Drosophila melanogaster: one gene and its partner. The protein of the gene in region 2 purifies or fractionates together with the protein of the main gene of each other region. This does not show direct contact. Each region holds a gene or a part of one and is shown on either strand. Other genes may lie near its edges. The genes, in order: ab and tai.

Region 1 (12,462 bases), 2.0 Mb from region 2:
GTTTAGTCTGTGTTCGCAACAAAGGTAGGAATAAAGTGCAAGTGGATTTTTTATAAGGAAAAATTTAGCACTAATTTAATTAGCTAAGGCATCAAAAAGGCGATATAATTGGGTTATTAAATGTATTGTGCTTAAAATGGGACAAACTATGAAGGAATCTAAACTATATACAATATTATTGATATGAAATAAGTTCTGGGCAAACAGAAGAGATGATTAAATAAGTTAACTTCACATCACATGTTTATTTTTGTTTACTTAAACAAAGAAAAGTTTATGTAAGCAATAATATTATTTTAAATGATCGGACGATATTAACTGAAATCTCTTGAGACGACCGACCATGAAGGATGACCGAAATCCGTCTAGAATAGATGCCAGGATTACCATCTAATATGTGTGCCATGCAGCTTCCCTGGGCTTTATTTATTGTGCGGCTGTGAATCATTGTTTGAATGGGTTGTCAGCTGGAGGATAGGATGGCGATGCAGTCGAGGACTTGACGCATTTTGTGTGCAAAACGTTTCGAGCTTATTGTTCCAAATTCGATGCCTCGGGCCCGGGCACTCGAGACCCGTACTCATCGGGCATAATTCGTTGGATCCGTTGGATCATCACAAAAGAAAAGCGATGTCATCGGCGAAAATGCAGCAGAGCTTTTCGAGCCACCGGATTGTGGATGGTGGAAAGGGGGGCAAATGGCGGGTATGGCTTCTAAACAATGCCGACCAATTTCCAAAACAATGTCAGCGTGCGCAATTTTAATGATTGCAGATATTTTAATGCGGCACCAAGTTATTGTTCTCATGCTGATGCTGTGCACTGCAGATAATTATGGGGCACTCAATTGATTTTTACTTTTCTCATTAATTATACGGTAGCCTGAAAAACTGCTAAAGTTTCTAGAGATCGCATAAAACACTTTTTTTTTTATTTATTATATTCTTGTACTAAGCAACAAAAACTTTTGTATATTATCTATAGATTGCAACAATTTTCTTACTGTTTCTAAAGTATATCAAATGTATTTGTATCTGAATCTGGTAACTGCAGCGTCAGCAATGGGTGGTCGAATCGCAATGAAAACTTCCGTGGAATTGGTTCATTCGGCACAAGATGCCTCATTGGGTGGATGGATGGCTGGGATGGTTAGATGTGTGTAAGTGTTTTTTGCACTGTGAAACTGCAAAATGATTGATTGACTCTTAGCATCAGTATTATTAGCATTTTTGGGTTCGGGTCTCTGTTTTGCCTGCGCTTCTGGCTAATTAACAGACCTGACCAACTCCGATTTGGTTTTGGTTTTGGTTTGCGCTGTTGGCCTGGTTCATTCAACTCTGGCGCTGATGGGTGAATTACAACCGTTGGACTTGACTGCCTGCCCGGCCAGGTCACTAATTGAAGGCGAGGAGGAATTACTAGATAATTTTAATGTGTTACGGTAGCTCAGCATTAGCAGCAGCTTGACCCAACTCAATTTTCACTTCGCATCTTGTGTCTTGGCTTCATTCCACGTTCGGCTGCAAAGAAATTTTCGACAGGTTATTGAGCTTAAGTTTTAGTTTAATGATTTCTTTGCAGTTAAAGCAAGCCCCGTTAAATCAATTTTTAAATCCTAGCTAATGCAAACGTACGCATTTCACAGAGATCATGTTTTGAAACATACTTGCCAATTTCTAACTGCTGACATATTGTGCATATTTATATAGTTATAATAATTTAGAGGGCATAAGATATTTTAAATATAACCTGCCAAGTAATAATGTTCAATACCTAGCCTACGTAAAACTAACAAATACGTATCCATCATATATTAAACGGAAATTTACATAGCATCCTAATTTACATCTCGTTTCGGATGGATAAAACCGGCAGCAGTAATTCGAAATTTCAAAAACCACGTCTTCACAGACTGCGTAATACGTATTCAAGTCGGTTTTATGCGGTTATGCCCTCTAAGCTCGGAGGCAACTGTACCTTGTGCAATGCGATCGCGATCGCCGCCATTTTGGATTTTCAATGTGGAGAGTAATAGAGCCAACGGCACTTAATCCATAGACTGCGATGGCCGACCAACTTATATTTCATGCATATAAAGCACACACCATCGAATACTACTCACTCATACACAGCAAAGTACCCATTTATCCAGACGCTTTCCAACTTATTTTACATAATAACCTAGGTTGTACCCACACGAATACAAATACACCACGCTGACCAGTACTAATACTCTTATAAGCCTTTATTTGCGTGTTTTTGTTGGCTATAAAATTGTTTTTTCTTTATCATAATTAAATTCATGGTTCGTGTATCATCTTCAAAAAAACCAAACCGATGGAAACACTCTCTCGATCTTTCTCTCGCTCTTTCGGGTCTTAATTCGTGCGCCGCAAGGTGAGTTGAGCGGTACAAATAAACGAATGTATGTACATATGTACAGTCATATTTACCTTGATCATTTCTATTGTCCACACACGTTCGATAGAAAAGGAGGGCAACAATGTGGAAGAGAGAGATGGAAGGTCGCGTGTGTGTGTGTAGGCAGGCTAAGATTGCTGGGGCTCAAATGAACGGAATGCTCCTAAATTACAGATGGTGGTTACTAGATAGATAGTTTACCTCTACAAATAATGAATACTTAAGTAGTATAAATATAAATTTAAAAAAAAAGGAAATGGATATTGCATAGGATTTTATAAATTTTTAGGATAAAGGATCTAAGTGGTAAGGCTTTCTTTTCAAACAATGTTGTTTTAGCTCAGTAAATCCAAATACTTATAGCTGAATTTTGTTTTCCAGGGTGTTTACCAAATCGCAACCATTATACAGTGATAGTTTAAGTTGTTGAATTTAATTATGCTACCGTTGGGTCTACAAATTCCATCCAATCTAAGACTGTGGGGTAAACTCAAGCAAAACGAAAGCGCCACCCATCCGAAGATGGCTCTCAATTCCCGCCTCACTCACACCTTCTGCTGCTCGGCGTTTTGCCTCCCCCAACCAATTTTTCACGTACACGCATTTCTTTTGATAATTTCATAATCATGTTTCTATTTTTCACATTGATAACTCAGCCCGAGATCACCGGAACTGAGAGCTTTATGGGACGCAGCTTCGAGTGTCAATAACTCATCCGCTGACATCGAATGCTGGTCGCCAACGCAACTGCTAAGCCCCCCCCACTCCCCGACCCACTAATCCGTTGGGGAAACTCCAGGAAAACCCGCTTGAAATTGCTGCACGAGCTGCAAGATAAATGAAATGTCATTTGCCTCGTGTGCAACAGATCGGCGTCTTCATTCCATGGCTGATATATCCCCCTATTAGGCATTGGAGTACCCAACTTGGATGACTCCATTGAAGGCAGAACAGAGGAATCTGAGATGAAAAATAAGTGGATACTGAATAATTATTGATCAATTATATATCACTGTTAACAAGGAAAACATTAACGCATAGAAATTAGATAGTTTTGTATTTATTTGTAGAGAAAACACTCTTGGTTCGTTATTTACTTTGGACAAATCAGAGGATATTGAAATATTTAAAGATATTTCATTTAATAATTGTATTGTATTATTTGTGGAACTAAATTAAAATATGTACATACGCAGAATGTGAGCAATGGACCAACACAGCTTTTATATACATGCACCACTAAAATAATATCAAAATCACACAAATGTCATAAACAGAATCCATTAAAAGCAACCTGAAAATACTGATTCTTTTTATTAAAAATAAACTTGAACCACCCACGAATTCAACTGTTGTTGTTCTTATTAGTTTCATTTTTTCCAAGCAATTTTTGTTCGACCATTGAAATGCGTACGAGATTATTTAGACAGATCGTGGCATTAAAATATATGTACATGCTTATATTTATATATATACATATATGAGCACAGACATATATTAAGCGCATACATCCGAATATTTTAATTAGAGTATAGATAAAAAATAACAACAACAAAGGAAAAAGAGACGAGCAGAGAAGAAGTGAACGAGCGGGGGGCTGTCAGGGGCGGAGGCAGCAACAAATATTAACAATAATTATACCCAAAATATAAAGACGCGGCGACACCTATTCCATATAAATTTTAGGTTTCCACAATTTTTTCACTCACTCTCGATAAAAATAACATTCCACACGTACACACACAACTAGATGGGATGCGGTGGGGCGGTGAAGAAACAGATTTGGGAAGTGAATTTTGGACAGTACCTACACACCACCACCACCCATTCTTGCCCCTGGAAGAGTGGAGGGGGGGGGGGGTGCTTGTGGGTAAAAATAAATACAAATGTCGCCGGCATCAATAAGATATAAATTAAAAGCGTACTACAATCCCAATGTTAATTAGAGAAGCACGAGAAGCGAAGAGAATGCAGCGGAGGTGGGGCCAAACATAAAACTAAGGTGGAGCGAAGTGAAGCGAAGAATGAGAAATTCAGCCCCGCTACACTGAGATAAAGTAGTGGAAATCTTTTAATTATGAAATACATTTTGATATCCTAAAAGGCAAGAATTGTTAGCTATATATAACAATTAACAAGATATATTATGAGTAGTTAACACAGAATTGCAGAAGAATTCTTAAACATTGAAAAATTTTCTAGATTCTTTCTTATAGTGCAAGATTATATACCCATTGAGTTTGGGTATGGAACTTTCCTCCGCCCAACCAATTTCATACCTCGCTCCAATGGAAGCGCTTGACGTGCTGTCGTGTATCTATTAGATACATTAGCTGCCGCATGCCACCAACTTGCGCTCCCTTTTTGGGAAGCTGTAGCTGCATCTACAGATCGTTGCATCCGAAACTCTGTGCATTTGTGGATCGTTGGGATGTTTGGTGGTGCGGCGACAATTTCGGTGTTCTGCCATTTGGAGTGTTTTTACACGTAAATTTATTTTGTTTTTGTCGACTTTAATAAAGTTGCATCTGCCGAGGGGTGGCACCTCATAGCTTTAGCGTCTGCCGAAGTGGGAGACAAACTTTATTTATTCCAGCCTCAGGCAGCTTAATGACTTCCTGCAGGGGCGGCTACTGCGAGAAATCGGAGGAGGGCAAGATTAAGGTGCGGTTCCAGTTCTCCACGGAACTGTCTTCCTTTTTTTGAATTATTATTCTACCATAAAGCTCCGCATATCTAAGGAAAGTATGGTTAGGGAAAATACATCATATTAAGTATATTCATGTATCTTTAGCCTTATTGTTAAATTACACTATTATTGGACAAATATCTGTGTACATTCATTCGTTTAGACATCCGTTTAGAAAATTTAGTAATTTGCACATTTGAACGTTTTTCCTTAGCTGCGTCATTTTAATTACAATTTCAAATAAGGTCAAATGATTTATTGAAATCCGTCTCACAACTACAGTGCATTCCAATGACTAAAGTTATGCTTGTGTCTTAGTTTGTTTTCTTATTTGGTCCACATTTTTGTAAGTAAAGTTAAAGTAAATTAAAGTATATTTTAATTCAAAAATTAGGGTTAGTTCATTTTTATATTTATTTTTGTACTTAAACTTACATTTTACATTTCCTTTTCAGACTGAGAAATAACTTAATTCGATGAAATGCTACTTTATTTATGGAAACTATAATTTATCAGAGAGCGCACATTTTATCGCACTTAACACCCAATGAATCAAAAACTCGGGCTGCTCTCTTCTACCGAAAACTTTTGGCCAAGAAAGCGCTGGCAATTCTGCAATTCAATTGGTCGGCCGTCCGTCTTTCTTTCTTCTCGGGCTCTCTGCAGTCTTCACCTTGCCACTTTGCCCGGTTGGAAAAGTAAACACAATCTGATTGTATGGCTTAGATAATAGCCCCCTTGTGCGCCAGTGTGTGTGTGTGTGTGTGTGTCTGTGAGTGTGTTGGCCAGTTGGAGGAGGATGGGGCTAAAAAAAAACGAGTGAGAAACCACCGACGCGCTGCATGCAACATGTTCGCCGTCGAACGTCAAACGACGAGCATCGAACGTCGAACTTCGAACATCGAACGTGGAGCCGACGAAGAGTGCGTCGGATTTTACTTACCGCTTACGAAAACAGGAATTCTTATTACGCGCAGTACAATTTCAGAAATCAGACGGGCAGCAAGTGTCGTGGTTCAAGTGCGGCTAATTTGGCTTATATGTGATTTTCAGTGTTTTGATGGCTTAGTAAACTATCAGAAACACAGAGACAACTGAATTTGAACTTCTCAACTAAATAAATACAAACCATAACATAACTAAAGAAAACAAAGAACTGTAATATAAAATAAAAATAAATTAAAAACGAAAAACTATTAAAATGCATATAAACCCGAATTGGAACGAATAAACTTGGTGCTGTTAACTGTTTTCGAAATAAATCCAAGAAACTTCCGTTCCTAGTGCGAAACTATAAACAACAAGAACTGCAGCGGCGACGCGTCGGCAAATTGGCATAAATAAATAAAATCAGCGACGTTTTTTTCTGCTGCCGCTGTTCTTTTTTTACAACCCGATTTTTATGAATGAATGCAGCTAACAGGCAGAAAAAAAACCGCAACAAAAGAGCGAGATAGCGCGAGTCGCGTGCACAGGAGCGAAATCGTTGAAGAAAACGGGGGAAGTGGGGGCGGTTGTAAAAAAGCGGACAGGTTGTACCGTTCGATTGCCGCCCACCGCCCGTTTGTCGCCCACTTTTTGTTGTTATTATTTTTCGGTTTGCTTTTCCGCTTTTCCTCCTAGGCGACACACGCTCATGCTTGTCACTTTGTTGCTTTTGCTTTTCGCCTGTCAGCGGCTGTCACAAATCCGCAAACAAACACACAAACACTCACACACACACACACACGCAGCAATTGTTGTCGTTGCAAAATTAATAACGGAAGTTGTGCATTTTATTAATAAAAACGAAATTCACACAGAACCAGATTCACAATCGCAATCAGAATCAGAGAAAATAAAACCAGAACACGAAACTCGCTGCGAAAAAGAGCGCACGAAACAAAAAACAAAAACAACAAAAATCGCAAGTGCAGCGCGACGGCTTCTTCGTCTTCTTCTTATTCTTGTGGCGTTTTTCTTCTACTTCGTTTCGTTTGTTTTCCGCTTCTCGGAAAACCCAGGAAAATGCTCTCTGATTTGCCAGCGATTCTCATTCATTTTGTTCTTATTGTGATTGCAGTTGTGCAGTGTTGAAAAATCAAACTAAATTCAAAATCGGCTTTAAAGAAAACAAATTCATAAAGGGAAATACCCAAAGAAAATAACCCTCAGTGTTTCAAAAGTGTTCAAATTTTACAATTGTGGCATCACAACAACAAATTCAGCAATCATCGTGAATTTTCAAAAAGAAGATTAAGAAATCAACAGTGCAAACGGTAAGTTTTAAAACTGATTCTTGGAAATGTATGTACGAATCTGCTTGGATGGCAACTTTTTAACAGGGAATTTGATCGTTGAAGTCTTTGGGGTTAGTTCCAATGTTTGTTTTCTGACAGTATATGAATTTTAAGTTATTGATTTACTTAAATTTAATGTAACTAATATTCTGGAAACGAAACCAAACGAGAATCAAATCGTTTAAGCTGTTTAACTAGATCACATTAAAATCGTAGTAAAATAGAACTTTCTCGCTTCCCTAGACTTTTATAACTTTATATGTCATGATTTTGTTTTACATAAATTGAATTAGGTTAACAAATGTTTTATGACCGCGATCTTTGTTTGCGATCTCTCTCAGTGATCGTAAACCGAAGTTAATGGCTTACAAAATCGGGCTCACAAAAGGCGTCAGCATTTGGAATTGTCTTTAAACTAGTTGGCCAAAATGTGTGAATCTAAGAAAATTATGTATTTTTTGGTGTTACACGCTTTCTTGATTGGTCTGCTGCTCTTGAAGACAGACCCGAATAGTTGGTGTCCTCTTGCGATTTGATAAATGAATCTTGCAACTTAGGGAAAACGTTTTCGGGGGAATTTTCGTGTGCAGTAATTGCCAACTTTTTTGGAGGCAGTAGTGCTGTGGCACCCATAGGTAGGTAGTGTTGTGTGTTATGGCCAATAATGGTAATAGCAGCTAATGAACCTGACTCTCGACTGAATTTTTGGATTTAGTCTCGGAGTCGGGGGTCTGCGATACCCAACACCAAACACCATCGCGTAAGTGTAGATTCCTCGCCTGGGCGAGTGTTGTTTTTATTTTTCACCGGCCCGTTGAAAACAAACACAAATACGTAGATGTGGAAACCCGGGGATGCTGGGAAACAAAAGGGTCAAGGGGGCGAACAATTAACGCGTCGCTGTAATTACAGCAAATGGTTAAAAAAAAGGGGTTTGGGAACAACTAACCAGAAAAAAGACACAAAGAGAGGGAAAAATAGAAAATATTAATAATCAATAGCCCGCTAAAAGGCATCGATGGAGTCGGTCGAGTTGGTCGCGATGGTTGAGGCAATTTTATCGGTCATTGAACGGCCAAAAGAAGCCAATACCAGAAAGAGATTTTTTTACAAGCCGAAAACGCAAATCGTCGGACTTGGAAATTATGCCAAAAACTTCGACTTTAGACGCGGCAAGAAGCGATCGGTTTTTGGTTAATTACCCGGCCAAATCTCCGTTAACCTCCGGCGAAGAAACTTCGATGGCCTTTTCTGGGGGGCTGAGCAGTTAATTACATAAAAACAAGTGATTTGCGTGTGCGCTGCTGCTTTTGCTGCTGCCCACCGGCATCGATTCTCCAGCTCCGTTTCTTAGATTTTTTTTGTGTTGGGTAATTTTCAACTCGCCAACTTTCGGCCCGGCTAATTAGCGGAGAAAATCTGCGGCACAGGCCGAAAACCCATTTTTAGGTTGAACACTTGCGAGTGTTTGGTAAATGTCCAAGAACAGGTGACCTTTGACTTTAGTTTGAGGGCCTAAAGCATGATTAGGTAAGCAGGAATCAATTTAGAATTCAAAAAAGTCATTACATATTCAAATACTCGCATAAAGAACCTCCTATTAGTTGCTTACAAATTTTTCTTATTCCATAATTACTATTTTAAAACTTAACGCATAGCTTAACAAATTTGCTCACAGAGTTTGAGAGCTTATTTCATTACTTCAGTTCTGTAATTATATTCTGTGCAATAACCTTTTGCTCTTAGCTTAGATTGTATGAAAAAGTGCAGAATATAAGTACATTTTGGCCGTCATCTTCTCTCTAAAATTCTGCTTTATTTCATTATGTCTCAAATCATTCTTCAGCCTCGGTTCTCACTTTTTTCCTGCCCAGTTTTCGAATGACCTTTGGTTGGCGCCGTCTTCTCCGCATCCTTTTGCCCCACACTCCATATAATTTATCATAAAAAATAAAAGTTTTTTGGCTTTTTACGAACCTTTTCATGGGGTTTCTGCCCCCCTGCGGTCAGATGAAAAAAAAGTGGAAGGAAGCTGGACAATCGGCGCCGTGACTGCGTTCTAGATAAATAAGCATTCTTAATTATCCCTTTGCCTCCTTCTCTGGGGTGGCAAAAATGTTATAAACAATGGAAACCGCGCACTTAATGCGTTTTCTGTTTTCCAGAAGAAGGAAAAAAAAAACGAACGCGGCTGCGGCAAGTATTTTTCTTCATATTATTCATTATTTTGTGGCCAAAAAAGAAAATGTTTTTATTGCCTGCGAAAAAGGGTATAAAATGCTCAGTCGCCATTAGCCAAGGACCCGCAACCAAAACGACAACAATTCCAATCAAATGTAAAGGAGCAGGGCATAAAAAAAGGAGATTTCCAAGTGGCCCAAATGCCGAGATACTCAATGATGGGTGGAGATTTGGGTGTGAGAGGTCCAAAAAGAAATGCCGTCGGTAGATGAGATTTGGATTTCTGGCCCATGACAGGCCAGTGACTTTTCACTTTTTCGCATGTGAGCAAATGTGTAATTGAAGTTCCGCTCGAGAATAAAGAAGTGAAGCGGGCCAAGAAACAAAGGAATGTGGAGAAAGGACTCTAAGGACCTGGCCAAGCCATTCGATTCCAACGTTCGCCTTTCTCACTCGCCGACGGCGGCGCCTTGGCCCAAAGTATCGCGATTGCCGCATGAGTTGGCACAAAATCACAAAAATCAGTAAATCGCTCACAAAGTGCACGAAAAGTGCAGCGAAAATGAAAATGATGTGGCACTTTCTCAATGCTACCTGCCATGTAAATCATCAAACAAAAAGATCCTTCGAAAATATTATTGCAGGAGCATGGGACTTAAGCGGAATATACATATGTACATAGCTGCATCGCATCGATTTGGAGAAATATTCTCATCAAAATATTTGCACTTCTTCTTCGAGAACTCCTAACGACACCAATTGAGAACGTAAGCCAACGTAAACATTCGAAGTTTGAAGCTGCTGTCACAGTGGACAGTCGCTAAAGTGTACGAACTGGCTGTCCTTTTAATTAACTATGAAAAAAAGGTAAAAGATACAGTTACAGTTATTAAGTTCGATACTCTAGGATTTTGGTTAGTTTTAAATAATTTGAATCGCAACTAGATATGAAATATTCTATTTTTTTTTTTTTTTTTTTTTTTTTTTTAATTTTTATTATTTATTGAATCTTCCCTTTGTGTTAAGAGACTAACAATAAGTGTTCAAATCTTAATCTAACTTAATTAACTTTCACTTAGTGATAGTTTTTTTTTTTCATTAATGCCCTAATAAGTTTATTGCTGGGCTGGGAGGTCGTTGCGGTGCAGCCGGCTTTGACTGCATACTCGGATTAGTTTTCTTGCGAGGGGATTTGTATGGGTGGTCAGCTTTTCGTTATACTTCGTTTTTTTCTCAGCTATTACTTCGATTACTAATTTGATTTTTAGGTCTCTGTGTATGTTTTCGTTCCGAAGGTACCACGGCGCTCCAGTGATAATTCTCAGAATTCTTGACTGTGCTCGCTGAATAATGTCTATGTTACTTCTGGATGCGTTGCCCCACAGCTCGGAGCCATAAGTCCAGATAGGTTTTAAGACGGAGTTGTATAGAAGAGCTTTGAACTCCAGACTAAGTGGAGAGCGAGCATTTATGAGCCAGTGGAGGTTCCTTGCTTTAAGTTTAAGATGTTTAGATTTGGCTTCTATATGTTTGCGCCAAGTGAGCCGCCTGTCCAGATGAACTCCCAGATATGTTACCTCGTCGGCTTGTGGAATGCATATGTTATTCAAGACCAGTGGTGGGCATGTTTGTTTGTTTAAGGTAAAGGTAACCTGCTTGCATTTTTGAACATTTATTGAAATTCTCCAGTCGGCAAGCCATCGTTCTACAGATGTTAAGTGTCGGGATAGGAGTGCCGTGGCTTTTATTGGGCATTTCGAGCGACTGAGTATCGCGGTATCATCAGCGAACGTGGAGGTTGTTAGATTGTAGTCTATGGGGAAATCCGCCGTATACAGGGTGTATAAGATTGGACCCAGTACACTGCCTTGCGGCACTCCAGCTTCGATTGCGCAATCGCGTGAAGTGCTTGTATCGCATCTTATTGCAAACACTCTGTTATATAGGTATGACTTCAGTAGCTTATGTGTGTTTTGGGGCAACAGCTTGATTATTTTAAACAAAAGTCCATCGAGCCACACTCTGTCAAATGCCTGCGCGACGTCTAGAAAAATGGCTGTGCAGTATTCTCGATGTTCAAAAGCAGTACGAATTTCTGACGTGATTCGGTTGACCTGTTCGATGGTTCCATGTTTTTCTCTAAAGCCAAATTGATGTGTTGGAAGTGTGTTGTTTATTCTAAGATGAGGGCTAATCCGAAGGAGTAGCATTTTTTCAAACAGCTTTGAAAGACATGTTAGTAAGCTTATCGGTCTATATGATGATGGCTGCGTTTTATCTTTTCCTGGCTTTGGAATCATTACTATGGTCGACTTTTTCCATTTTTGAGGGAAGTATCCAAGCTTGGCGATTGCGTTGAACAACAGGCAGATGTGAAGAATAGCACACTTTGGGAGTTCAATGAGCATTCTTGGAGTTATTAGGTCGTAGCCAGGCGATTTTCTTGGGTTCAGTTGCTCTTTGATAACCTTTGCTAGTTCACATGGTCGGAATTCAAAGGGTTCTTGAGGATCTAGATTGGCTGCTATTAAAGGAGGGAGAATAAATGTGTTGGTAGAGGGATTTGATAGTAGCATTACGTCGATGTTTTTTTCGTAAATGAACTGTGTGAGCTCTTGTGTATGCCGTGAAACGCCATTTGCGTTCCACAGAGATATCCGTAGGGAAGCCATTATGGGGATTTTGAAGATACAAGAAGTTGAATCAGGATATTTTGGTTTTTCATGAGCTCTTGCAAAGTATTTTGCATGAACGTCATGAAGTCTTTCATGCTTTGCTGTAGGGATAGCATCATAGCTTCGATGCCACTTTGTTGTGTTTGTTGGATGTTTGTCGGTGTATGTTCGGAGTGAGCAGTTCTTGTCGGTGGGGCGGGCACTTCTAGTCCGGATT
Region 2 (12,771 bases):
CGTGACGCCATAAATTCCCCCTCCCCCCCTGCCACCTACTGCTTTTAAACCCCCCTCGCAGACCCACAACTTCAGTTGGCCACGATAGACCAGCAAAAAAAAAAAAAAATAAAAAAAATTAAATTCAAAGCCGGGAACCCAAAAAACGAAGGCGTTTTGGCCAAACTTCATGCGAAAATGATTGTGTTTCTATTTTTTGATTGTTTGTTTGCCAGGGCCTTTGCCTTGAATTTGTTTGCGGAAAACATTGAACGGACTTTTTCATGGATATTAGATGGCAAAAATCGACACATACTTACAAATACATGTGTATAATAATCAAACAAGACATTTAAGGTAACTAAAATGTCAGTTTTAAAGTGGAGCAGACTTCACTTTTTTTTCAATATTTCTTTTCTTCAATTAAACGTTGTTTTAATCTAGAATTTCAAATGTCAAATGTAATTATTTTTTGTTATTTATTCAAACGATTGTTTCCCACACGCGTATCAAATTCGTGCTGACAGAAAATTCCATTTGGCATTTAGTAAATATTGAATCTCGCTCTATTTGCTTAAATTCGTATTTGTCTAAGTTTCAGCACACATGGCTTTGTTTCGACTTTCTATCCTTTTTTTTCACGTATTTTCGAGAGTTATATTTTGTTAATATTTTGTTCGTGCCGTTTGTTTAATATTGTGCTGTGTGCATTTCTTCTGGCTCGTATTTGCGGTGTTCGCTGTTTTTATTTTCTTTTTTTTGCTGGGTTTTCTCTGTGTCTGCTCTCGCAGCGAGCTTTATATTTAATATATTCATATACTATATATATATTTCCTCCGGCTCTGTTTTATTTGGATTCTATTTTATGCTGATGTCCACAATTCGACAGGTGTTGCAACCGTGAAAGATAGAAAAAGCGTATTTATGTCGTCTTGTACTTTTAATTTGTGGAGTAAAAGTGCATGCTAGAAACTTTGCTACGTAACAGGTATCTGATAGTCGAGGTAGTCGTTATACCTATTACTAAAAAAGTACTATCATTAAATATGAATTATTATTGATACATATAGCTATATCCGAGTGTCCATACTGTCCGTATGTTTGTCCGTATCGAAATTTCACAATTATAAATTCTAAATTTTTTTAATTTTAATTTTTGTCGCTCTTTACACAATTAACGAGTATCTTATAGTCGAGATTATCGACTTTAGCGTTTCTTTTTATATTTTCTATATATATTTTGCTGGTTTTTTCATTTCAAATTAAAAGTTTCTATATGGCAGTTACTCATTTGTTGGTGTTGCAGGTTCAAGGAGCTCCACTGAAGAGCTCTTTAATTAGAGTCGAGCAAGAAATACCCATTGCCAGCAGCAAGTGCAACAGCAACAGCAACAACTGAGCACGAGCAGCGACACGTGCTCTACATGTAAAATTGACAAGGTGACGAGGCCGATGGATAAGGCGGCTTTTGGGTGGCCGATGGGAAGGGAGGGGCAGGTGGGGCAGGGATGAAGGGTTGAGTGGCAAATTCGCACCTGAAGAGGTGAGGTGAGGCTACTCTACGTGCTGATGTTGTTGCTCTGTCTGCATTTATGGCATTTTTTATGAATGATGCAGAGGAAACAACAGCAGCAAGTGCAGCAACATTTGGCGTTGATGAAGTGCTGAAAGGCAACTGCAATGTGGAGTCCTTCCCCCTTTTTGGATCCCAGTTGTGTACGCTCTCTTCTGCGCATTTGTTTATGAATTAATAAAATTTTAATTATGTTGCACAAATAATTGCTCACTTGTGCAGAAAAGCATGGATGGCTGGCAAATGAAAACCGAAAGCAACACGATAGGTGTAAATAGGAAATGCCCATAAAAACCGAGCCCAAAGTGCATTTTAATGAATAATTGATCAAATGCGGAATGCCACCCCTATGGAAATTGCCTTTTTTCTCGTATCTATGTGATTATAAATTCAAAATGGTTTAACAGGGCATAATAAAAGCAGGCAAGAGAGCTTCAATTTAAGTTGGCTTCAAGAAAATCACTTATGCTAGGCTACAACAAATATTAATAATAATAATAATAATAGCTTTATTTCTATCATGTTCTTTACCCGAATAAATAAAGTTTAAGGTTTCCGCTTGTGAAAAACACTTTATAAACCAATTTTAGTGCTAATAAATTCTCCGAAACGAGGGCATCAAGTGACTGACTCTTGTATATAAAACAAAATAATACACATTAATATATATAAAACCAATCTTCTAAAAATTTTCTCACACATAAGCACATAATCGGTGGGCGAAAAAAAATGACAGAAATTATGTACAATGTCTTCAAATTACACGAGTCTTATCATTTATTAAAATTCACAGAATTTATTAAGAGAACCACCGGGCGAGGAGCGCCAACAGCAGCAGAAAAGACACCATAAAATAATATACATATTTAAATATATCGAATTTCCTTAAGTAAATACCAGCGAAGGCACAGCTAAGACACATCCTAAACGAAAGGGAGAAGAAGAGCCCCAAATATCAAACTATTTGGTACCTAATGTCCGAGAGGTTAAAGACACAACAAACACAGGCAACACGACACAAAAACCAAAAAAAAAAATTATATATATATATCCAAAAAACACGAAAATAAGAAAGAAAAGATTCCCGGTAAAGCTCAAATCCTGTTTACTTCCTTTTTGTGCTACCTAAGCAACGAGAGCCAAAAGACGAAGCCACTAAATCTTCTATGGGTAGGTTTTAGGAGCCTCTTTTCAGCATCTCAATCCCCGAAAAGCATGTGTGCGAATCTCCCGGCATTATGTACACTTCTTTCATTTTCATATATATGTATATAATGTCTCGTCGCTGATTTATTATTTACTTTATAAGATATGTTCCTGCAGCGAAATCAAGTTTGGTTCACGGCTGGCTTTATATTTTGATAGGGCCAGCTATGAGGATCTGAAATCCGGAGGGGGTGTATAAGATTTTGCTTAATTTGTGGCCGGGGATGAGCAGCTTCTATCCATTGGATGGGAAAGATGCGGCGGGTTGAGAGGAAACGGCAGTCGCTTCACGGAAATCTTGTTAAATTTCGCTTGATTAAATTTGCTTGCATTTTCTTCTTATTTTTTTTTATTTATTTATACCGCTGGTTTATAGCATTATGTGCGCTTGTATTTTGTCAATTTGGACCACACGCAACAATCGGTTTAGATGAATATTTGTGGGCTAGCCCATAAATTGAGATCCAAGCATTATAAAAACATATTGCTCACTAACGCTTCGCTTCTCTCAATTTCTCTCAATACTTGCCATTTTAACCGCAGAATTTATGGCTAGGAAATAAAACGTAAACAAGAAGGGGAAATGGCTAAAACAAAGCGAATTTCAAATGCACTTATCGGTATGCCAAAAACTAATGCCAAGACATGTATTAATGATTTATTATTGCTGTTTCGTATATTCAAATATATAATAAAAATTTCTTTGACTGTTTGTCTTTCAAAATGGTACTAAAATGCATATTTAATTTTTAAGAAAACCTTTCCATACAATACAATTATTCAGTTTGATTTCATTTAATTGCATTCACCTCTTGTGCAAATGTGGATTTAATTTATGCGAATTCACACCATAAGCCAGTAATTAATTGTATGATTCATGGGTTACCAACCAACCAACTCCATTGGCTAAAACCGACAAACCCGCTTGTGTGCAGAGCATTAGCCATCAGTTAGAAGCAAAAGCGTGTTAGCATCGCTGGAGGAAAAGCTTGTGAAGATTGCAATGAAGTCGCTACCTGGGTGGAGTTTTATTGCAGGCAGCACGCCTCCCACCGCCCACGGTAAAGAAAAACCGCAGAAAATTGCTGTACATCGGGAGAAAAGCCAAGTTAAGCTAAGCTCGTGTAGATGAACTGGCTTTTTGCACAATGAGATTTATTTATCGTGATTGTGCGCTTAATTGAAAATTGTTTGCCAGCCATCTGGTCGCGGAACAAGCGAATCCAAAGGAGCAGGCGGTGACCACCGCCTGCGATTGTTGGGCGCAACAGGAGTCTTGCTTGTTCGCAACCTTATACATATATCACCATGACCCTACTGCCTAACGGCAATTTTAACACACATTTATTGACACACATTTAAGGGCTCCGCTCTACATCTCCATCTCCCACTTTCAGTTAGTTATCCAGGATCCCAGGGATCGAACCCACACTTCCATTCATCTAGACAATTTGTCAACGACATGGCAATGATACAGCGCACAAGGAAAAGCGACAGCGGGAAAAACAGTAGCCCTACTGTAGCAAAATGAAAATGTCAGCGGCAGCGGCAGCTGCTGTAGCAACAACAACGTGCCCCAATCCAACGAAATAGTTAAGTGGATACGAGAGGGCACAGTGAATGGAATCCATCAACCGCCCATGGTGATCCCCCCTACCACCTACCATCGTGGTATCCAACTGGCAGCCCAAGCCGACGAAGCCTTTCCAATCACATTACTGAGTGCCAGGCGATGTCCTCCGGGGCAAATGGGCTGGGTTTGGAAACCCAGGGAGCTACTTAGCATCCCAACTGGAAGAGATGAACCCTTCAGGAGACGAAAATCAAATGGAATGTAACAGATAGATTCCTTAAGATAACAGAAAACCCTTATCACAGCTCTATAGTTTGGAAAGATATTTTAATGAATTCTCGTGAAATAAGAATATATATACTTCATGGTTGTTATTTAAGTTAATCTTTTGAGGAATTGCAGCAAAATGAGAAGAACTTCATTTTGAATAAGTGTTAGCAACTCACTTGAATAATAAAGAAATAATAACAAATTTGTATGGCATACAGTACAGTTTCCATCAATACATGCCGCCTCTTTTTTCTTATTAAAAATTCAATGATCAGATAAATTTTCACATTTTTCCATAGCTCACCTTAATTTAAAGCGCATGCAGCAAATACTAAATACTTAAATTCGAAATACAAAAAGCACGCATATGTTTTCAGTCACACAACACGGAACCAGCGGCAAACTAAATAAGCAATGGTATTATAGAGATCACAGCCACACGCCCCACCAAGCAGCCATCGCCACTCCATACGGAATTAGCTCTCGCTTTCACTGTGGGTGGTCCTGGAAAATTCCACGAGCCACAAGAATGGAAAGCACTTTGCAGGATAAGCGCCCCGTGGCATCCTCGAAAAGACCAACCACCCCACGTTGTTGAATTGATTTTGCTATGTGAAGTGCAGCTTCACATATAAATTCCCTGCCAAATTGTTTTTTTTTTGTTTCTGCCATTGACTTGTTGCGTTTTCCATTTGATTGCCTGGCCGCAAGCCTGGGTTTATGATATGGAAATCAATTTAATTCATTCCCACAATTAGGGCCATGACTTTGGCCCACTGCAGCGGGCCAAAAGCAGAGCCATCGAGCAAATCTGCCATAAACCAGCGAACAAGAAATTCTTATGGGCGAGGGCGTGTCCACCAACTACCAACTGGCAGTTGAAAAGAGCCGTAAAACACAAGGAACCCCCAAAAGAAGAATGCGCACAGTGGGCCTAAAAAGGAAATAACAATGAATTCAAAAACATGAAAGGCAAGGAAAGTAATGAGTATTTTTGTATATTATATACAAACATAACAGCATTAACGGTTCAAACATTTTATATTAATTTTTTTTTTTAGTTTTATGGTATTTGATCCCACTGTGCTTTATTGCAAAATCGCAAGCAATGAAACGTGTGAATTTTATGAGCTCGCTGAAACTTAAATGGGTCTCCAATTTAATGACGAATTCTGCATTTTGGGAAAGAGAGAGCGCGAATTGTACGCAACAGAGCGAGATAGATGACGAAAAGCTGAGGTTTTATATATGTATGTACATTTTAGGCCGAAACATTCTTCGTTTTGCCGTGCTTTTCATTTTTCCGGTTTTCACCTTTCCGCTGCCGCTGAATCAGTCAAGACCGCCTGCCTTCCCCCCTCCCCCTTCTGGTGTCGTCTGCTCGCTGCCAGCGTCAATTACTTAATTTTAATGGCCTTTATTATGCATACCACAAACACAGAGGCGTTCGCCGAGGAGCGCTCGCATGAATATGCACACGGATTGGAAAGTGTAAAACACTCACATTAACAAGCCCATAAACAAACCTGGCTCATTAAAAAAAAACAGTCAACACAACTCGGGTTGCGGCCGCCGCAAGTCGATAGGCGAAGGAGCAAAGTGGGCGGAGGTCCTTGTGGGCGGCAGGATGCCAAGAATGTGGCAGGAGCCAACTCAATGTTGGCAGGAGGGGAGCCAGAGATCACACAGGCAACTCCAAAGCACTTCAAAAGTGCGCAAACATAAAGGTATCTCAAAAATGTATCATCTTAATTTTATATAATTTATTTGTTTTTGTAATTAATGAATAATTTATAACACATGCCTAACACATAAATATATGTAAATCCTAAGGCAATAACTAATTTTACTTATTTTCGAAAAAAAATATTCTTAGGAGATGGTTTTATATATGATATCGTTATCAATTAGCACGTCTTATTTTGACAATCAATCAATTTATGAAATCGCAGACCTGCCACAACTGGCATACATACATACATATGTATGATTGTACATATGTATGTATTTTCCGATGGATATCACTAACCTCAGGTTAACTTATCGAAGGGATTTCTCTCTGCCTCTTGTAAATCACGCACTAACATGGGGTTGTATGAATTTCGTTTGTATATATTCCACTTGTTGCCAACGGCACACGCGCGATTGTGTGTGTGTTGTGTGTGTGTGTGGGCGCTTTTCCTTCTTTACGACGCGACGCAACAACAAATAAACAAAAGCCGATGGCGACGACAGCGGCGACAGCAGCAACAGTAAAAATAACAACACAACTTTGGCGACAGCGACGCAGGTGTCGCAGACGTGTGACGTTGTTGCTGCAATTTGTTATTGTTGCTTTTGCTTTCGCTGTTTGCTGCGATGTGAGTTATCAGAAAATCACCAAACACACACGAACGCATAGGTAACACACACACACACACGAGCGCACATTTACGCACAAAACCGTACAAGTATTTCAGTCAAAAGAAACAAACAATTTGTTTATAAGTTTAATTGATCCATTTCACGCCTTTAGCTGTGTCACAAGACTTCTTGTTGTATGACAATAAGAGATGGCAGGCCAGATAGAATATCTTTTAATTCTGACAGAGTTTCAATAGCACAGCAGTTAATATTTCGTTTTCAAACAAAAAGCGTAATTTTTTAATCGGCAAACAACTAAAAGGTGTGCGGGTATTTACCAACACTGCGGCAACAGCTGTTCGCTGGTAGTTAACAGTTGGCTAACAGTAGTGTTCAGGTGTCAGTGTTGCCAGCAACAAGTTTGGAAAATATTAATGTAAATAATAATTATTAAAATAGAAAGACCAATTAATAAACTTGTGAATTTACCTAATATATATAATATTCTATTTCTAAAAATTCTATTTCAGTAAAATGATTGTATTTTCTGTTAAACTTTCTTTTTCCAGTCAGTTGGCAGTGCTACTGCAGCAGCTGTTCCGCTGTCAACGCTCACCAACACTGCGCCACATGCTCCACAAATTTTTTTGTTGCCTTTTGCGGCTGATTTGTCACTGCCAGAGTTTATTCCGCAAATAAAATCCTCTATACATGATATTTAAATCAAATACCGAGTAACCATGAGCGCCACGGATGACTTCCAGAGCTGGCTCAACGAGCAGCTGCGCAAATTGAACACCGACGAGAACGTTTTCGGTTCGTATATTATTGGAATTTTGGAGGGCGACGAAACGACAGATGAAAAAACCGAGGCTCTCGAGGGAATTCTCAGCGAAACAGGTGTAAGTTATGGTTAGTAATATCATTGCCTACATAAATTATGGTCCGTGATCTTTGCAGTCCGCCAACATTGACGAACTGGTGGCCACCATACTACAAAAGTGGCTACAGAGCCATCCCAGCGCCGATGATCCGCCGAAAAAAGGTCTGGATATCGATGTGAATGCCCAGTTGGCCAAGTTGCTGGAGCAACAGAAGCTGCAACCCGCCGTAAACAAGGAGCGTGAATACACCGAAGAGGAGCGTCGCATCAAGCAGCAGATTCTAGCTCAATACTCCCAGGTTGCTATCCATGCTGGCCAAGCTGCTGATTCCAGATATCTATTACTAGCTTTAAAGTAGAAGTATCTAGTATCTAATGACAATGCCAATCTTTTTGCAGACTGCCGTTGCCAACGAGGACGACGAGAATTCCGAGGCGGAAAGCGAGGATGACAGTGGAACGCTCACCAAGAATACCAACAAATCGGATGTCCAGGCGCTAGCCAAGGAAAAGCGGGAGCAGGCCCGAATGGATAGTGCGGCCAAAAAGCAAAAGGACAAAGAGGATCGGGAAAAGCAAAAGCAACTGCGCGAGGAAAAGAAGGAGAAACGCAAAACCGTCAAAGGCGAACGGCGTCGATAACCGTCCCCAAGCGAATATTTTTAGACTCTTTCTATTAAAAACAACAAACAACAAATCTGTACAAAGTGCATTTCGCTTGAATGTTTGCATGTTTGCCTAAAGCGAAGTAAACTTTGAAGAGATCTACCGAACTGTTGAATATAAATGTATTAAAATTGAAACGCCAAGATTTTAATTTGATATTTTCAAATGTTTTCCTTTTGATTTCCTTTTTTTTTCTTAGTTTCTTTAATTTTCTAAATTAAATTTAATGCTGTTTTCACATAGCTGTTACAAGGAAATTTGTTGTTTAACCCTAACTTGGCCAACTAGTTGTAAATACTAATGAAAATGTTAGTTTTGTGTATAATTAGTAGTTGTTTTTTTTTTAAGAATCAGCTTAATTTTGCTTATCCTCCTCCGCCTCCAAAGTATCTTCTTTGTCCGATGTCGTTTTCTTATTTCGCTCTGATTGTAGTTCCACGGAGATTTTCTTAATCGCCTCCAGATCGTGCAGTTTAATACGTCTGTTGTTGGGATCCAAGCAGTTGACTTTGACCTCTATGAAGTCGCTCGTCTGCTGATCATCCCAACTGGAATACTGCAAAATTAAGTATATTAATAGAATGCTTATTGATAATTATTTATAAACACAGGAGGTCACAGGAGGTATATTGAAATTATCACATTGATGCAAATAACTTGAATTGATTAAGTATACATTGGTATATCATGTATGTGACCACCATTGTCATACAAATAATCCACTCACTACAGAACTGGAGGTAAAGAGCAGCTCCTCCTCCTCGGCAGCCGACTTGACCCGCAGATACTTCTGAAGCAGATTCGTTTGTTCATCTTTGCGCCACAGACACAAGCGATTGTTCTTTAGCCAGTCGTTTTCCATAAGATCAGACTTTTTTACCAGCAAATCCAGTTGGCTTAACTTAACAAATTGCTTCTTGGGCGGCAGACTCTGGGGTCGCTTTGAAGTGCTGGCCGACGGGTAGTCAAAGTCGTCGTCGCTGGGATCGGTTTCTAGGTCATCCTCTTCGTCGGACTCCTCGTCGCTCACCTTGGCCATCCGGCGCTTGGCCTTCGAGGCATTGGCTGCCGCCGATTTCCGCTTCCTGCCGCCATCGGAGCCAGATGGCTTGGACGGACGTTTCTTGGTGGGTCGCCAGTCCTCCTCGGAGTCGGAATCGTCCGGACTGAAATCATCCTCGTCGCTCTCCTCGAAAGTGGTGGTCACCAGTTCCGTGCGACTTCGCATTCTGACGCGAAAATTCTCTACTCCTGCTGCTCCTGGTTGAACCGACCGCTAAATCCTGCAGCGGCTGCTGCTGCTGCTTTTGCTGCTGCTGTGGCTGCTGCGTCTCAAAGCTGACTGAAAATTTTATTGTTGACTCCGAAAAGCCCATTCCATTGCCCGCACAAGGGGGTCTCCCAGAATTATCCTTTAAGGGGTTGCAGCTTGTCCTCTCTTTCGGCTGAAGCTTTTGCGCTGGCGAGCTTTTTAGTGTTGCATCTTTTATAAGACATTTCCGAAAAGTTTTCCGAAAGCGAGCTTAATCGAAAGGAGTCCTGCAGCAAATCCTGAAAGCTTTTCGCCAAATCCCAAGAAGCTTGATCTCTGCATCTTCAGACCACGCCTAAATTAGGTCAAAGCTCAGCATCGTTTTGCATCTTTCCGAAATGAATTCATTTTTAATCAACAGTTGTTTTTTCTGGTACTCAAATATTGAGCGGTTCTTGTATAAAAATTATTCTCGCTTCAATCATTTCGTAATTACAATGAACACCTAACTTACCATTCAACAGTTTATGGCAAACATAGGCCAATTAGAAATATTCTCCATATATTTAAACCCATTCTTCCCAATAATAGTAGCCAGTTTTATTTTATCTTTTATTAAGATGCTTTTTACTAATGTATATTTTATTTAAACATTTACATAAAGCTGGACATTGGAGCACACACACTACGAGTACTACTACATAGTTAAGATTTAGTTACTATTCTCTACCTTCGTTGAAGTATTTTCTATGCAAATAATTTCCAAAACTTTGTATCAAGTCGACTAATTTACCGACTAATTTATATCATTATTAAACTAGTGGGGGAGCAATCAATTCTCCATCGATTTGGATTATCTTTAGACCTTTAGGCGCTATACACGCGTGGGCGTGCCATATATAGCCCCCGATCCGACTCCGGATCCGAGTCCACCATTATTCCGGCGCTGGGCGAGTGGCGAGGCTGGTTGGGGAGTCGGTCCATTGTTGTTGTTGAGGCGACGCTGCTGACTGTCCGAATAGGCCCGCTCTACAAGTTGGGGAAAGGATCGCTTTATCTATATCTTTTGGTCCATTCAACATCACGATCTTCTCATGCACTATGGGGCCAGTCGGCTGGACACTTTGTGTAACATGCACAATTTGGGGCTTTGGGTATGTTTACCACATATTTTCTGATTCTTCTTTATATTGATAACATGCAAAAGTAAAAAGTTTACATTATAAGTAGGTTTAAGGGTGTTGTTTTTGATAACAAATGATAAAATGGAGTGAGGATGATTTATTTGAAAGAGAAAACTTTATACAATTCAAAAAAATCCTAATCATCCCCTTTAAGATGGGTTTAAATAATAAACACTTTGAAACATTATTAAGAATGAAACTACTTAAAGCTAAAAACATATAAACGAATAAAAGTAAAAAATAAAAATATAAGTAATAATGAAATGCATTAAAACTAAAAATGGTACAAAACTATCTTAACTAATTAATGGAGCATTCCAGCATATTACGTTTTCCGAAACCAATCCAAATATGATCCTAAAGCCAGCCCATAACCATGCCAGATGAACGATGAGTAATGCAAGCAAAACCGTATAAATCCTCAAACCTACCTCGAAACTTAAGGCCCTGGGCTTCGTTGATGATGGCGGCCAGGGCGGGATGTTGGTAGCGCTCCCGGAAAATGGCCGATCCGTTTATGCGATCCGATCCGTTGGTGTTGCCATTCAGGGTGCCCATGTTCCCATTCCCATTGCCATAGTGCATCATCGTCAGTTTGTGCTGCGGCGTATGCTGTGGCGTCAGTGATGTGGGGGGCGTGGCATTACCGTTCTTATAGTAGCGATTCTGGTTGGGATCGTAAGTGGCCTGCTCCTGATTCTGATTGAGACGATTGGCCATCTTGATGGAGGCACAGCGATCCTCCTCGTTGTTGCGCATCTTCAAGATGCGTTGATCCTGCACCGAGTATCTCGATCCGTTCAGGGAATTCAACTGATTGAGATTGCTTACTTGGGTGCTCAGCTTTTTGGCTCGAAAACTGCCGCCTGGCGATGAGTTATTCAGCAGTGTTCCCCTCGACGAACTGCCATTGGTCTCTGTGCTGTCCCTGCTCGCCTCCCGGTAGCTCGAGGGGCGGTGCGTCGATGGGGGCGTGTCCAGGCCACTATCATGGGCCGAACAGTCCAGTTCGGTTTTGGCCAGCCCGATGTTGCTGCCGCCGCCAGTGGGTAACATTGGTTGAACTAAATATAATAAATAAGCAAATATTAATATCATATTCATTCAAAGCAAAGGTTGAAACCCACCTGAGTGCCTCATATCAGTGGGCGCCCTTGGCTTCCGGTACAGCCAATCGCGGTCCAGTTCGTTGCCATTATCCGGAGTAGCGCTAACTCCCCGGAACAGTCTGGGTCTCCTCAGCTGAACCTCCGTCTCCTCGGTCTCCTCATCCACCACCTGATTGGAACCGAAGCTGCTGTTGATAAAGATCCGCCTAGGCGATCCGTAGAGTGCTCCGGCTTGGGTGAAACTGTTCTGGGCCGAGACATATCCATTGGAGTATCGACTGAGATTCGCATTGCTGTGGTGCGGTATCTTTTGCGGCGTCGAGTGGTTCGTGCTGATGCCGCTCAGGTGATGATTGTGGTTTTCGTTGTTCAGGGCACTCAGATCCGGCACCGAATCGGAGAACAGGAAGGGATTGGCCCCGCCATAACCGTTCAGACTGCCAGCTCCAATCTTGTGCCGGGCCAGACCACCGGTTCCATTCGTCATCAGCCAATCGTCCAGGGCACTCGAGTAAGTGCCTCCGAGTCCAAAATGCTGGAACTGCAGCGAAGCATGCGAAACGGGAGCAGCCAATGAGGCTCGGGATCTGGGTCCTTGGGCAATCTTCAGGGCTCGTCTGCGCTCCTTGGAGGTCATTGTGCATTCCTAAAGAGGATAGCGAATGTTTAGTTATACTGATTGGGTTTAATTCTATGTGGATCCATTATGTCTAATTCTGAACCAAGTTAGTTA

The links.
Region 1: the proteins of tai (region 2) and ab purify together in Drosophila melanogaster (affinity purification with western blotting, with the first as the bait; one study listed by BioGRID). This does not show direct contact.

Annotation. Positions count from the first base shown.
Region 1 is NT_033779.5:11,204,596-11,217,057, forward strand, and holds the start of ab (abrupt), read left to right. Parts: upstream 1-6,082; 5' UTR 6,083-6,152; exon of another isoform or gene 6,153-6,178; intron 6,179-7,172; 5' UTR 7,173-7,368; intron 7,369-12,462. UniProt on the Drosophila melanogaster protein: Expression is vital for development; may be involved in transcriptional regulation. In embryos, muscle specific expression is required for segmental nerve b (SNb) motoneuron target recognition within ventral longitudinal muscles.
Region 2 is NT_033779.5:9,161,298-9,174,068, reverse strand, and holds the start of tai (taiman), read right to left. Parts: upstream 7,292-12,771; 5' UTR 6,631-7,291; intron 1-6,630. Other genes in the region: CG9586 (uncharacterized protein), read left to right, coding at 7,685-7,846, 7,905-8,126, 8,197-8,469; CG13108 (uncharacterized protein), read right to left, coding at 8,849-9,049, 9,221-9,721; CG32982 (uncharacterized protein), read right to left, coding at 10,906-10,928, 11,361-11,993, 12,057-12,684.